Linked DNA regions of Astyanax mexicanus. Each later gene encodes a partner of the first gene's protein in a complex. Links are inferred from orthologs where the notes say so. Each region holds a gene or a part of one and is shown on either strand. Other genes may lie near its edges.

Evidence for each region. Proteins that work in one complex are often made in the same cells at the same time.
Region 2: taf12 (region 1) and taf11 share a complex: the UniProt entries of both Homo sapiens proteins name them as parts of the TFIID basal transcription factor complex. The link is inferred for Astyanax mexicanus from reciprocal best matches to the Homo sapiens genes TAF12 and TAF11.

The regions. Positions count from the first base shown.
Region 1 is NC_064413.1:33,269,519-33,277,535, forward strand, and holds the start of taf12 (transcription initiation factor TFIID subunit 12), read right to left. Parts: upstream 3,005-8,017; 5' UTR 2,850-3,004; intron 1,594-2,849; 5' UTR 1,536-1,593; coding exon 1,365-1,535; intron 1,069-1,364; coding exon 991-1,068; intron 463-990; coding exon 348-462; intron 23-347; coding exon 1-22. Other genes in the region: ctps1b (CTP synthase 1b), read right to left, coding at 4,842-4,920, 5,148-5,292, 5,381-5,477, 5,591-5,646, 5,782-5,878, 5,971-6,014, 6,096-6,158, 6,340-6,434 and 4 more. UniProt on the Homo sapiens protein: The TFIID basal transcription factor complex plays a major role in the initiation of RNA polymerase II (Pol II)-dependent transcription.
Region 2 is NC_064420.1:51,847,989-51,854,977, reverse strand, and holds the start of taf11 (transcription initiation factor TFIID subunit 11), read right to left. Parts: upstream 3,094-6,989; 5' UTR 2,896-3,093; intron 1,670-2,895; 5' UTR 1,658-1,669; coding exon 1,517-1,657; intron 778-1,516; coding exon 626-777; intron 1-625. UniProt on the Homo sapiens protein: The TFIID basal transcription factor complex plays a major role in the initiation of RNA polymerase II (Pol II)-dependent transcription.

The DNA of each region.
Region 1 (8,017 bases):
ATCCACATGTTCCACTGGCGCTCTGTGCAAAAACACAGTGTAATTAAGAACTACAACCGAGGGTTTAAATGTGTGAACTTTAAGTCGAAAAGAGGACACAGAATAACATTAATGAGCTAAAAGAAGTAAACTGTAGATATTATAGATTGTGTAAAACTTTGTTTGGACAGCACTGAGAAACAGAGTTATTATAAGAAAATCTTGCTTTTCTGAATGGTATGTCAGTGTAGGTACAGTATAAACAATAATGCAAATTGAGACTCAATTACAGTTTAGAGGATAACATAAATGTAAAATTACCAGTAAAAACAATATAGAAATAAACAAAAGTTTAACAGTCCACTCACCAAGGTGCAATTGCACATCCTTTACTTCCAGTGTGTTAGACTTACGATGTCGGGCAAGCTGGCAGGCAGCAGTCACCACACTCTCTATAAAGTCATCAGCAACTTGCAGCAACATCTGAGACAAACGACAAAAAAAAAACAGATTCAGCAGGACTGTGTGTTCCATGCACATACCTACAGCAAAGTTGAAAGCATTTAATCCCAACAGGAAATAAAGTGTAGCAATTCAAATGTCAACTATAATAATAATAATAATAATAATAATAATAATAATAATAATAAACAATAATACTACAAGATAAAATGTGAAAACTGAATTTTAATAGAATATCTAATAGAGAAAAATTGCTAAAAAAAATCTTTTCTAAATGTGAATTTTTAAACATGTTTTTCTACAAATTATAAAACAAACAGTTTGAGGCATCTACCATTTGTAAAAATTGTTTATATTTAAACTGTATACATTAAAAGAAGATGTGCTAACTTAAAATAAGTACCTTCAATTAAGAAATGCTTACCGATTTTACTTCATTCAGTCCTTCAATTTACTTTATTGTTATATCTAATCTTCCTTATGCAGATTATATTCACAAATAAATAATTTGATTAAATAAAAATAATTTGTGCAACAGAGATCAAGTACCTCCTCAACATCCTCGTCAAGCTGTTCATTAGGGTCAATTTCCCGCACAAGGTCTTGCAGTTTCTTCTTGCTGAGCACCTGTGACAATCAGATAATTGTCTCAAGCATACATGTTATTGTACTTTGAGAGCTAAAGAATTATAGTTATAAATCATAAGTCATATGTTGCATTATATTATTATTCATAAGACAGACGTTTTATATTAGGACAAAATAGCTGAACAGTGATCATTTCTAATGAACATCTGGGTCCATTATTGGAGCATATGAACATAACAGTTTTGTGCTTTTGGGATGTGTACAAGCAGTTATAACTGCAAAGTTACATAAGCAACATACTTTATTGAAAAAAGTAGAGTTTGAGGGGTCCTTACCTGAGTTCCTTCAGGACTCAGTCTGCCAGCAGGCCCAGGTGTGCCCAACACCTTTCCGGGTACAGCAGTGCTGTTTGCCATGCTGCTGGTAAGGGATGAAGCTAAGGAGGCCTCCGCTTTGGCAGCGTTGTACAAGTTGAATCTGCTGGTCTGCTGTTGATACTGGTTCATGCCAAGCAACAGACAGCAGTCAATAGCCTCCTATAAGGCTGCAGTCACCTCTGTTCAACTATAACAAAAAAATACAAATATATATCATTAGTGTTACCATACCGTAGTGCTCTCAGGGAAAACAGGCAGTAAAAAAACAACAATGTTATTTTTTAAAAACTCATTGCATCAGTGAGCTAATTGTTGCAGCCCTATTAGATTTGAGTATTTTTTTATAGATCTATGCAAAATCAGTGTAAATCAATAAAAACTTCAATAATGTAAACTGAAATACAATGTATCTGGTCCCTGGTGGAAAGGCCACTATAATACAAAGGTTTAAACAATTATGTGTTCCGTACGTTTTAATTAGCTGAAAGCTCTTCTCAGTAAGCAAATGCAATAAATATGAAATACAATAAAAGTAATGTATGCTAAGTGTTGTTTAAAACATGTTTTATATAATAGATAAGAATCGACTTAACAAAAGCTTTAAATGATACATTTTGACTGCATTATATTAGTTTTATTATATTTGATGGTTCGGACTTATATATACTTATATATACGGACTTATATATAGTTAACGCTACTCTCCAATAAAACCAATAAATATTTAACAACTTGCTGGACAAATAAACGCTAATTCCTAAAATAAACACAGATGATTACTGGAGATTAAGCGGACTAAAGTTTTTAGTTAGAACTTCTTCCTCTGTTTAAATAGTGGCTGAACATCATCAGTGGCCAAGTTCAGTTTGTCAAATGTCAGACACTGAAAGTCTACTATTAGCTCACGGGCTACATAACATAACCTGGCTAAGGAGTAATAGTGAACTACACATAAGTTACATGATAAAACACGTAAACAACGTCTTTAAAATGAAGCTGGAAGTACTGATGATCTGTTAGAGATTAGTGCTTTTAGTTAAAGTCGGTAACGTTAAAGCTGAATAACATTAGTGATCTTCAGAAGTTAGTTAGTTAAATTAACTGAGCTAGCAGATGCTAATGCTAATATAATTTAACTAACCAATATAGCTAGTTACATCAGAAGCAGATCTCCGAGTCCTGAAGTTAGTTACAATACTACAGGCAGCGGTGAGAGAATCACCCACCAACGCTTCTGTTCTGGTCTAGGATAATTTTTAGACGTTTCTCTGTGTAAATTGAGGTGATTTTAACCCGCGTAAGTCTTAAACTGACCACTAAACACAAGCTGTGACCCAGCTCTTCTTCTCCCACTCCGCTCCACTGAGCGCTAACAGCTAACTACAGCCACCGCAGCGAGGCAGAGACACACTAATACACTACAGAAAGAGACCAGTACTGCACCTGGGTGTATTATTTCCTCATCATCCGAGTAAAAGCCCAAATCAAGTGTAAAATTTAAGAAAAACAGGCAAATTACAGCCCCTCCATTCGCCACCGTTGATGCGGCAGCTAAAGCTACAGCAGACCGGATCCCACAGCCCTAAACAGCGGAAATGCCCATTTACGCACATAAAAGTCTGTGAACAGAAAAATAATATACAGCTCCGGAAAAACATTAAAAGACCACTTCAGTTTCTGAATCAGTTTCTCTGATTTTGCTATTCATAGGTATCTGTTAGAATAAAATGAACATTGTTGTTTTATTTTATAAACCACGAACAACATTTCTTCCAAATCCCAAATTAAAGTATTGTCATTTAGAGCAATTATTTTCAGAAAATGAGAAATGGCCGAATTAAAAAAAGATGCAGAGCTACAGACCTCAAATAATGCAAGGAAAGCAAGTTCATATTATTAAGGTTTTAAGAGTACAGAAATTAATATTTGTTGGAATGATCCTGTTTTTTAATCAGTTTTTTTTGGCATGTTCTCCTCCACCAGTTTTACACACTGATTTTGGATAACTTTATGCAACTCCTGGTGCAAAAATTCAAGCGGTTCAGCTTGGTTTGGTGATGATCATCCACCTTCCTCTTGATTATATTCCAGAGGTTTTCAATTGGGTAAAATCAAAGAAACTCATCATTTTTAAGTGGTCTTTTATGTTTTTATACCTTTAATAGCCCCTTCAAATCAGACTTAAGCTGAGGAAATAGAGGGAACCATTTATTCAATTAAGGGAGCAATTTTCTTAAATCTAAAAAATAATTTGAACAATTTAAAGCCTTAACCATCAAATTGGCAGTAATAATTATGACTGTTTTATTTTTTACCGTCAGGCCAATTAATTAATCCTACATAAAAAAAACAATCCAGTATTTTTAAGACTTTTATTTTGTATTACGTTTAAACACTCACCACACATTTTTAGCCCCATATGCACAGTTGCCTTCATTTTATTGAGTCTGATGTCTCAAAAATGCTGAACTTTTTATGACGTTTATGTCAATTTATTTACTACGACTGAAAAAAGCAGCACACTTTGCTTTTAATATAGATTGCTCATTTTTCTCACCAGTTTAAACATTAAACATAATCAATCAGGACACAACAAGTATTCCATAGCTTTATTATACAACACAAAATAGTAATATTAAAACAAACATGTGGCACCAAAGGAAACAATTACATTGACATTCATGTAGAGCTATAGTAGGCCCATAATTCTGTAGTTCTAACCAGTCTTCATATCCTACAATGCTTTACAAATCTAACCCATCTACATCTTAAATCATTCATGGTTTAGGTTGCTACCCGCTTACAGTCAGCAAGGATACACTTTCACCAAGCAGCAGTTGGAGTCAATTTTGCAGGTAATTGTAGAGAGCAAACACTTGGGCTTTTGCTGCTTATGTAGTCCATCATGTGGGCTATTGAAACATAATTAAAGAAATGGGCTAAATAAAGAATATCTGCAATTTAATGTACAGGATGAGGTTTAGTATGTCTTACCAAACAACCCAGATATAAACTGTAAAAATCCAACCTGTTGATATAAGAGTAAAATGTATGTATGTATGTATGTGCATATGGCATTTGCCCACTGAATCAAACATTCACTTATACACATATTTATATGGGTATACATATATAACTCAAAACATTTATTTGTAAATAAATAGTCATAAATATTACATTTGAGTTCCACAAAAAATGTAAAATCAGTTAGCATTTTTGTGTAGGCATTTAAATTCTTATAGACTTTTAAAAGGTAACTGTTCTGTTACAATAGAACATTCTCTGTAGGCTGCAACACTGTAGTACTTCGTTTCCCCTAAGAACAAAAATTCTGTCCATCTAACATGATGTTTTGTCCCCAATAAGAAGGAATACAATGTGCAGTATGTTGTGCTTTCTCCTCATTTTTCTCCCCCATCTGTGAAAACATCCTTTCTATGAAACTGCTGGGAACTTAAGCTCGGAGAGTTCTGAGTCTGGGGAGCTACTGCCACTGCGGTCACTGTAAGTGTCTCTGAAAAGAAACGGACACAAAAAAAATCATCATATTATCAACAAAACTTCAATGTCCTGCCCACTACGGGAAACCCCTTCCTCTGAGCTTTGTAATACAGATTATACATTTATTAGTAAAGAAAGGAAACACAATGTATACTGACAGGATTCAAAAGAATCATCAGGAATGAGGCATTTATTATCCTAACGTATGACTGGTCATTTAAGTTAAACTGTAATTATTACCGTGGTGAAAGTCTGCATCCTTTAAGCATAAAGCTTTGAAGTTTTCCTGCAGCTGCCAAAAGTAGCCCAAAATAGGGAGGTGAAGGCTTAATGGGACGAGAAGTGAACTCTGGATGGTACTGCACTCCCACAAAATAAGCATAATCTGCCAGGACAAAAAGTTTTATATTATACTCTTGATGGCCTCTTTTACAAAAGATGGCAATAAAGTACCAAACTTTTTTTTTACCAACCTTCAAGTTCAATGACCTCCATTCGCTGCCCCTCCACATCCTGGCCCACAAAATGCAGCCCCTTCTCCTCAAAGTAGTGTGTCAGTTCTGGATTCACCTGGGGAAAAGTAATGCAAAAAAATAAAGTAATATGATTAGTAATTTTTTACTTATTATTTTTTACATGCAACAGATGTTAGAGTTTATAAATATCTGTTTATTATTTATAACCTCAAAGCGATGTCTGTGCCTTTCATCAACATGTTCAGCATCTCCATACAATTTTCCTAAAATATAAAACCAGAAAAATCCACTTAAATAATATTAAGATTCTTCATTTTAGCATCCAACAAATAAATATATAACATAAATTATAAATATGATACATAATGCTTCTGCTTTAAGGACTCTAAAGAACTTACTCAGAATGCTGGTGTTACTTTTAAAGATGGTTCTCCTCTTCCCTAATCTCATAGTGCCACCCATTTGTCCTGGGTTATGTTCTGGCATGTCAATCACCTGCAATAATGAACAAGAGACCACTATAGTCTAGATCATGCCAATAGTGGTATCATTTATTGTATGTATTAGTGTAAAAACATGATACATACTACAGGATGCTTTGTTTCAGGATCAAATTCAGTTGAGTTGGCATCTGTCCAGTCAAACAAAATCAATATAAGCTCTACATCTTACTTTTATTTAACATACTCATGTGGTTTCTTTGTCTGCTTACCTTGCCAGCCAAGCACGTTACGTGCAAATTCACACACAGCGAGCTGCATGCCCAGACAAACACCTGCAAACCACAACGTTTGTATTTAGCGTGAATAAGGCAGCATATATTAACTGAGACAAGCCAAACACTATGTAAACTACAGAAATACAGGACAATCTTTAGAACTGTGATTTATCTTTTGGTTATTCTTAGATTTGCTGTAAGGGCCTTACAAATAAAGTCATATAACGTGCCTTCTTACCTAAAAAGGGCTTTTTCTGCTTCCTTGCCCAACTAATAGCCTGGATTTTCCCCTCTGTGCCCCGTACCCCAAATCCTCCAGGTACCAAAACACCACTAAAACATAAATAAATGACCACAAGAAAAAAGTGTCACATTCAAACAGATTAATATTAATAGAAATGCTTTAAATTTAGCTTTTAATAAAGCTATACAATTAATACAAAAATCTAAACACTTTTCAAGAAGGATAGAAACAAAAATATTAAATAAACATATGAAATTTCAGTTTTTTTGTGTTTAGTACAATTAAAATATTTGTAGTCATTTTCCCAACCCAGACCAAAGCCAAGGCTAGACTAATGAAAATTCCAATTGATATTCACCATTTGACACTGCATTCTAGTCAAAGAATTGGCTTAATCAATGTCCAAGAAAATGCTTTTATGTTCCGAAGATAGGTTTTCATTTGGCAACATTATTGATTAGTATTGAGTGTTGTGGTGCTACACTTGGTATTAGTATCAAAATGCTGGTGTTGTGAAAATCCTTGTACTTTGTAATGCCTGAGAAGTGCTGACTACTAATATGACAAGCCGTTGCACTCACTCAGCACTGCAGAGTTTTTGCCAGGCTTCATGGTACTTCACTGGCTCTTCCTGCTGTGTAGCTTGCTCTAGGTCAGCAGAGTCAATGTACTGAAACAGAGAACAATTTCTAAATACTCCTAAAACTCGAAAGTGTATTTAGTGAAAGAAAGAACACAAAAGGCACTATGGTCCAAAAACATTTACATTGCAAAGAAAATCTTAATCAATTTTAACATTATGAACACCATTAACAGAGGAAGTCATTCCCCAATAACACTTCTTACTTTGACCTCTAGCTTGTGGTTGATTGCAAGGGCAGAATGCTCAAGTGCTTTAATGACTGAAGCATAGGAGTCGGAAAACTTGGTGTACTTTCCCACCAATGCAATTGAGGTGTGTTCCAAGAGCCGGTCTGACCTGTCAAAAAATATAGCCACACTAAAGCTCACTACATTAACATAGTGCAGACTTAGCACTGCTTTAAATAAGATGCTAAAGACCTTTACCTATCTGACATTTCTTTCCACTTGGTGAGCATTCTTCGAGGCCTCATCTCAATGGGTAGGTCTAGTCTTCGACAAAAGTAGTCCACCATGCCCTGATCCTCCAGAAGCAAAGGAACTCTGTAGATTGAAGATACATCATGGATGCAGATAACCTGTAAAGAAAATAAAAGTACAATATATTTAAAACCTTTCACGGCAATATGGAACCATTACTGTCTTTTTTGAAGTATTAGGTCCAGTTCAGTTACATCCATTACAGATACCTGCTCTGGCTCCACATGACAAAACATGGAGATTTTTTCTTTTACTGCAGTATCCAGAGGTGTGGAACAACGGCAAACAATCTAAAAAAAAAAAAAAATGAATATAAAGATCTCCTGTACCTTATGCCCCCAAATAGTTCTTTGACATTCCCTTGGAATAGCTACGCCCAGAATGTCTAATCAATTTGCTATCATTTGTAATCAAAAAAAGACTTGACGATTTTATTTAAAGTTATCTCCATTTTTGTTGTATTTTTAAAACAGATACCATATATTTAATATATTTTAAATAGACTGATTTTAAAGTCAATGTTATCTACATTTATGTTGATAATGTTATG
Region 2 (6,989 bases), on another chromosome or scaffold:
GAAGTGCTTATATATTGCACTGGAAAAGTGAAAAATACAACAAAACAAAAATAAAACCAATGAAAAGAAAACAAGTATCTCCTTTGATGTCAGTTTTTAGTTTACTGTATTATTTTAACACACAAACTTACCCTTTACACTGTACCAGAATTTCTTTATGAATGGACCAATAGAAAGTCTCCAAACTGACTTCCATTGAAAGGTAAGAAGGTGTTTTCTCTCTTCTGTATATTTGCTATTTTGGAGATATTTATCTCTCATTTTATTTAACTTCTGAATTATATTGTTTTATTGATTCAGGAAATGTTTATTTTCTTATCTTAAAACAACTTGTTTATGTTTTTTTAATTACACAACTACGTTTAACTATTATTTATTATTTACTCTATTTTGCATTGTTGATGCAACTAATTATAGTTATTTTTATTTTGAGTTATGAGTTGAGTTTTGGGGGCTGGAGAGTGGAGATGGAGAGTGATTTGTCCATTTTTGTGTATTTTAGTTTAATGTTTCTGTTTTTTATTTGCATGTTTAGGACTCTCTCCTGCGGCAGTTTTAAACCCTTTGGGTGGATTTAAGACAAATTAAAGCCTTGTGTTGATAGAAGTGGATCAGCAGAACTCACTGCATCTTCTGAATCTCGTCTTCATCCACTTTGTGCTTCTTCTCCTTCTTCTTCTCCGGCTCCACCTTCAGCTTCTTCGCTGGTGAGGGATACTGACCACTGGAGTGAGGCTCCTCCTCTTCCTCTACACCTGCAGCGTCCTTACTCAAAACCTGAACACACACAAAAATCAGCAAACTGATTTTTACACTTTCATACACAACCATACCACCACTCTTTATTGGTACATTTATTTTGCTACATATATTTTGTAGTTGTTACCACCACTGCTTCACAATTTACACAACTCTGCAGAGGACTTTTATTTTGAAACGAGTCTCCCTATACCTGATACTGAGCAGTTTCTAGGAAGTTGTCAGTATAGTCCAAAAAATTTAACCTGATCATGGTCTAAATCAGTTGATAAATTTGCTTATTTGGAGAGTTTTCCCATTTGGTTTGCTTTGTTTTCAAACAGGCACAAAGTTTAGGAGCACCACACAACGCAAGCCCAAAGTCTGCTCTGATTGGTCGAACCGCACTTTAGCACCTTTCCACCAAAATAAATGTTGAACCAGATCCATTCTGTTCTTTTAGCAAACCAGCCCGTGTTTTAACCAGTTTTAGTGAAACCATTCGTATACATTCCTGGTTCCGTAACCTACTTCTGCTGGTGGAAACGCAGCAAACCAGTTCAAAATTAGGTTTGTGAACTAAAATGCTGCCAGGTTTTACGTTGGTGAAAAAGCGATATAAGAGTACAAAGCAACCAGAGTCCGATTTAAGCAGAATAAGTAGTGATGTAGTGAAATAACTCGAAATTAAATCAGCTAACGTTACTATCCTAGTCCTGTACAGCTCCAGTATATATTTTTTTTATAGTAACTGATGCTGTGTGTCGGTGTGTCTCACCGTTTTGTCCCCCTCCTTTACGCCGCTCTGTTGTGTATGAGTGGACGAAGTTTCTCCATCCTCCTGTTTTACCGGCTGTGAAGGATCTGAGATCTCCACCCCAACTGCAGGTTCCTCCTTCACACGGCACGGATCCGCCATACTGCTCTCGGCCTGCAGGGGGCAACACAATACAGCATTAACACAACACACAATAAACAATACACAATACAGCAACTATAACACACTATAATAACACTATGCTACACTTATCCACCCTACTGCACTATATACACTTTCTCTAATTCTGCTATTTATAGGTTTATGTTTGAGTAAAATGAACATTGTTGTTTTATTCTATAAACTACAGACAACATTTCTCCCAAATTCCAAATAAAAATATTCTCATTTAGAGCATTTATTTACAGAAAATGAGAAATGGCTGAAATATCAAAAAAGATGCAGAACTTTCAGACCTCAAATAATGCAAAGAAAACAAGTTCATATTCATAAAGTTTTAAGAGTTCAGAAATAATCAATATTTGGTGGAATATTCCTGGTTTTTAATCACAGTTTTAATTTCATGCATCTTGGCATCATGTTCTCCTCCACCAGTCTTACACACTGCTTTTGGATAACTTTATGCTGCTTTACTCCTGGTGCAAAAATTCAAGCAGTTCAGTTTGGTGGTTTGATGGTTTGTGATCATCCATCTTCCTCTTGATTATATTCCAGAGGTTTTTAATTTGGTAAAAATCTAAGAAAATCATCATTTTTAAGTGCTCTTAAAAGAGCTGTATATATATAAAACTAACTAAACAAACAAAACACCACAGTGTTTAAACAATAGAAAAACACAAGTTACAAATAAACACTTCTACAATAAGGAACTCAATAACACAACATAAATCAACATAACACCAAACAAACACAGCGATAAAACAAGAAAACACAAATACAAATTAAAAGTCCTGCACTGCAGAACATAACACAATATAGAACCACCCAACACCAAACAAAGAAAATACACTAATACAAATTAAAAGTCCTGTAGTGCAGAACGCAACACCACAATATAGAATCAAACATACGCAAACAAACAAGCTGACAAACAAACACACTGTTAAAACAATAAAGACAAAACGCACTAATACAAATTAAAAGTCCTGCACCGCAGCTAACATTCACAATCTTAAGGTTATTAGTAAATCCTAATTTATTTTTTTATTAAAATACGAACCCGATCTAATAACAAAACACACGCCCTGTTTTATTACTAACCCCCGTTAAATAAACCGATATACAAATGAATTAAATCCGAAATAAACTCCGAATCTCTCATTAGCTGAGCTGATAGCATTAGGCTAGCGGTACCGGTACATTCCCGCGCTTTTTCTCACCGTTTAATCTGAGGAGAAACTTCCAGCGGCTTTTCTCTGATCCAGCGGCTCTAAAACTACAATATTAATAATAATCTGTGTGAAATTGACAGAAAATACAGCTAAAAATACCCGAAATTACCCCAATAAACCAGCAGCCCGGGAGAAACCACCCACTCAACACCTCCCAGATACTGCGCTTCGGCACAGTGTCATAATAAAAGTCCCAAAATAAAAGCGTTCTATTTATTTTTATTTTATTCATTTTAAGTTGGTTATTTAATTTAATTTGTCTCAAACAATCTACAAAATTCTAAGTTAAAAAACAAAAATAATGTAAAACTAAGGCAAAAAACTCATATAAACGTTACTGAATAATAGGGTAAAGGTAAGATAAGACAATATTTTTATGATTTTTGTTTACAGATATAAATATAAAAGTCTCTTTTAAATTTAAATTGTAACACATTGTTTTATTTAATTTCTTAATACGGTAAAATGATTATATGTATTTCTGGATGTAAATATGTGAAAAATATTAGACACAAAATAGATGTATATTTAAAATATAGATGAATATTTTATTTATCAATATACTTCAGAATGTATGAAAATGGCCAAAACATGAAGTGTGTAGCTTAATGAGATTGTGTTTCTCCCCAGCTCAAATGGGCAAATATAACTAAATAAATACATGCTAGACATTTTAGACAGCATTTACAAAGATAAAATATACGTAGATAATGAATATATCTAGCTAAACATATATAGAAAATATAGAATACAAATAACTATATGTCCATATATTCCTTTTCCATGTGGGATGATACATAAATGTAATTCCAGCAGGTATTTTCCGGAAAGGCTGGACTATCTCAGCAGGGATTCTCTAAAAACACGCAGAGGAATAATTTATAATATTTCTCCATATTTAGCCTCTGATAGCAGAGCTGAACCAGGCCTGCCTGAGTCTCCCTGGGATTCCAGCCCACAGCTGAGGGGCTGAATCATTTATACCCAATCAGCCTCAGTCAGCCTGAAACAGTCAGTCTGAAACAGCCGGTCCTCTATAGACTCTGATACAGACTGTCGTCCAAAATCTAATACAGTCAGTCTTCTATAGCCTGAAACAGTCAGTCTGAAACAGCTAGTCTGAATCAGTCAGTCTGAATCAGTCAACCTGAAACAGTCATTCTGAAACAGTCAGTCTGAATCAGTCAGCCTAAAACAGCCAGTCCTCTATAGTCTTTGATATAGACCATCTGAAACAATTATCCAAAATCTGTCTGATATAGACTGTCTGAAACAGCCAACCTGAAACAGTCAGTCTGCAACAGTCAGTCTTCGATAATCTCTGATACAGACGGTCTGATATAGTGCATCTGAAAGAGTCAGTTCGTAACAGCCAGTCCTCTATATTCTCTGATACAGTCCATCTGAAATAATTAGTTATCCAAAGTTTGTCTGATACAGACTGTCTGATATAGTCCATCTGAAACAGTCAATCTGATACAGTCTGTCTTATACAGTCCCTCTGAAACAGTCAGCCTAAAACAGTCAGTCTTCTACAGTCTGTCTTCTACAGCAAGTCTTCTATAGTCAGCCTGAAACAGTCAGTCTAAAACAGTCAGCCTGAAACAGTCTTCTACGGTAAGTCTTCTACAGTCAGTCTGAATCAGTCAGTCTGGACCGGTCTGTCTGGAACAGTCTGTCTGAAACAGTCTGTCTGAAACAGTGTGTCTGAAACAATTAGTCTTCTACAGTCAGCCTGAAACAGTCAGTCTAATTCAGTCAGTCTTCTACAGTCAATATCTGGCGTAAGGCAGAGGGGAATAAACCCCCAGTATTGAGCTGCTGAGCAGTGGAACTGTATTCTCTGGAATGATGGTGTTCCATAAAAAACAATCAGTTGTCTACTAAAGTTAGTCTAATTTGGGATGTTAATGTAGATGTTAGCTGATAACTGACCAAAAAATATAAAACAAATCTCTCAGGAGACACCTTTCATTGTTTTGCTGATATACAGTTGGTTGACAGCTAAAATTAAAGCTATATAAATATTATATTTTAGTGTCTCGTCTCTCTGTAAGTGATATGTGTATATCGGCATTGGAAGATCCACATCACATGAGGATCACATCACATCCACATCCCACATCAGTGCATCCCTGTTAACAACGGTAATACTGTAATGTGTTAAACACCGTCAGGATAATCAATATTTATTGGCAGTGTGGGAAAATGCAGCTCAGCTTTCACACTTTTTACACTCCAGATCGATCAGCCACCTTTAAACACCCCGTCTAATCGACAGACAGACAGCTCTCTGATTACATATACCCATAAACCCTGCAGCTGATCAATCAGTCTGATCAGCTCTGCTCTGCTTACAGCACTTCTCTTTATTATTGATGATTTATTAATAATATAGTAACTGTTATAAACTGTTCTAGTGTCTGAGTGTAGGTCTCTCTCACACACACACACACACACACACACACACACACACACACACACACACACACACACACAGATCAATACAGAGTATTGGCCCACTGGGGAGAAAAGCAACTTGATTTATTGATTCCAATTCCCTAAGCGGTGATCAGGTAATCAGTGTGATTAAAGCACTCTCACAGAGCTGCTGTACACAAATGAATAAACAAACAAACAAACAAACAAATAAACAAATAAACAAATAATTAAAAATAATCAATCCATAAAAATAAGGATAATAGAAGCTTATAAATAATAAACACATATATAAATAGATGAACAAACAAATAAACAAAATTAGCAAACAAATAAATAAGTAAATAGTAAAAAAATAAAAATAAATAAAAATAAATAAATAAATGTGTGGGCGAATAATAAAGGAAGTGACGTGTCCAAGAAGGACAGAGGAAGTTTGGTGTGGCGAAATTTCAATCCCCACCCGTTTTCCGCCAAGCCCCGCCCCTCTTCGCAGCGGTTGGCCAGTAGTAGCTCTCCGTCCACGCCCTATGATTGGACCTTCGCTCTTACTCTCTCCCCAGCTTGCCACACGATTGGTCAAAGCGTCTCTGCTTCTGCTCTACGGTTGGCCAGTCGACCACATTGACGCCCAGCTCAGCCGCCGCTCTGTGATTGGTTGGAGTGTTTTTGGTGTTTTTCATACTGCGCTGTGATTGAGCGGCTGCTCATTCGCTCGAGTAGTTGTGGACATGTGATAGGCTGGTTGGTGGAGTGGGCGGGTACGGTGGGCGGGGCCTGTGCGGAATGCGGGCGGGCTGTGGGCTGAGCGCGGTGGCGCCGCTGGGAGGAAAGTTGTCCCGGTGCGGGTCGGGAATACCGAGGCGGGGAGGCGGAGAAGCCGCGGTTCGGAGACTCACGGCGGGCGTTTTGTGATCCAGAGGCCGGCGGAGGAGTGCTGTCGCTCGGCCGCGTGTGCGCGCTCTCTCGCTGAGCGGAGATGGGGAAGGAGCAGGAGCTGCTGGAGGCGGCGCGGACGGGGAACCTGGCCGCCGTGGAGAAGCTCCTGGGCGGGAAGAGGCAGTCTGCTGGAGCCGCTGGAGCCGGAGGAGGATCCGGAAACGCGGGGAGCTTCGGCGGAGGCGGTGGTGGCGGACACGGCTCGTCCTCGCACCCGCTCTCCAGCCTCCTCAGGTAGGGTAGGGGGATCCCGCGGTGGTGGGGGATTGGTGGGGACTAGGACCGGGACTGGGGTTGGGATTGGGGGCCGTACAAAAGTGCTGGTGGCCGGGAGGAGCAGAATGGAGGCCGGCGAGGAGCTCCAGAGAGCCGGGGGTCTCCAGAATAATGGGAATTATACCAGAACCCAAGTGTTTTAATATGTTCTCCTCACTGAGCTTCTGGAGGAACCCTGGTGGGTGGAGAACCTTCAACAGTGGCCAACCCAAACCAGTATCCATGAATTTATTTCCTAGTTACAGGGAAGCTCCACCCAATTTCCCAACATTCTCCAGAGTTAGGATGTAAACAAACTCAATCCATATCCAGTTTTAAGACCTCCAGTTTCTGATGGTAACTCATGGTAGGTGGTAGACTGGTAGGTCAGATGGTCTCCTGACTGGGCTTACAGAGGAACCCTGGTGGGTGGAGAACCTTCAACACTG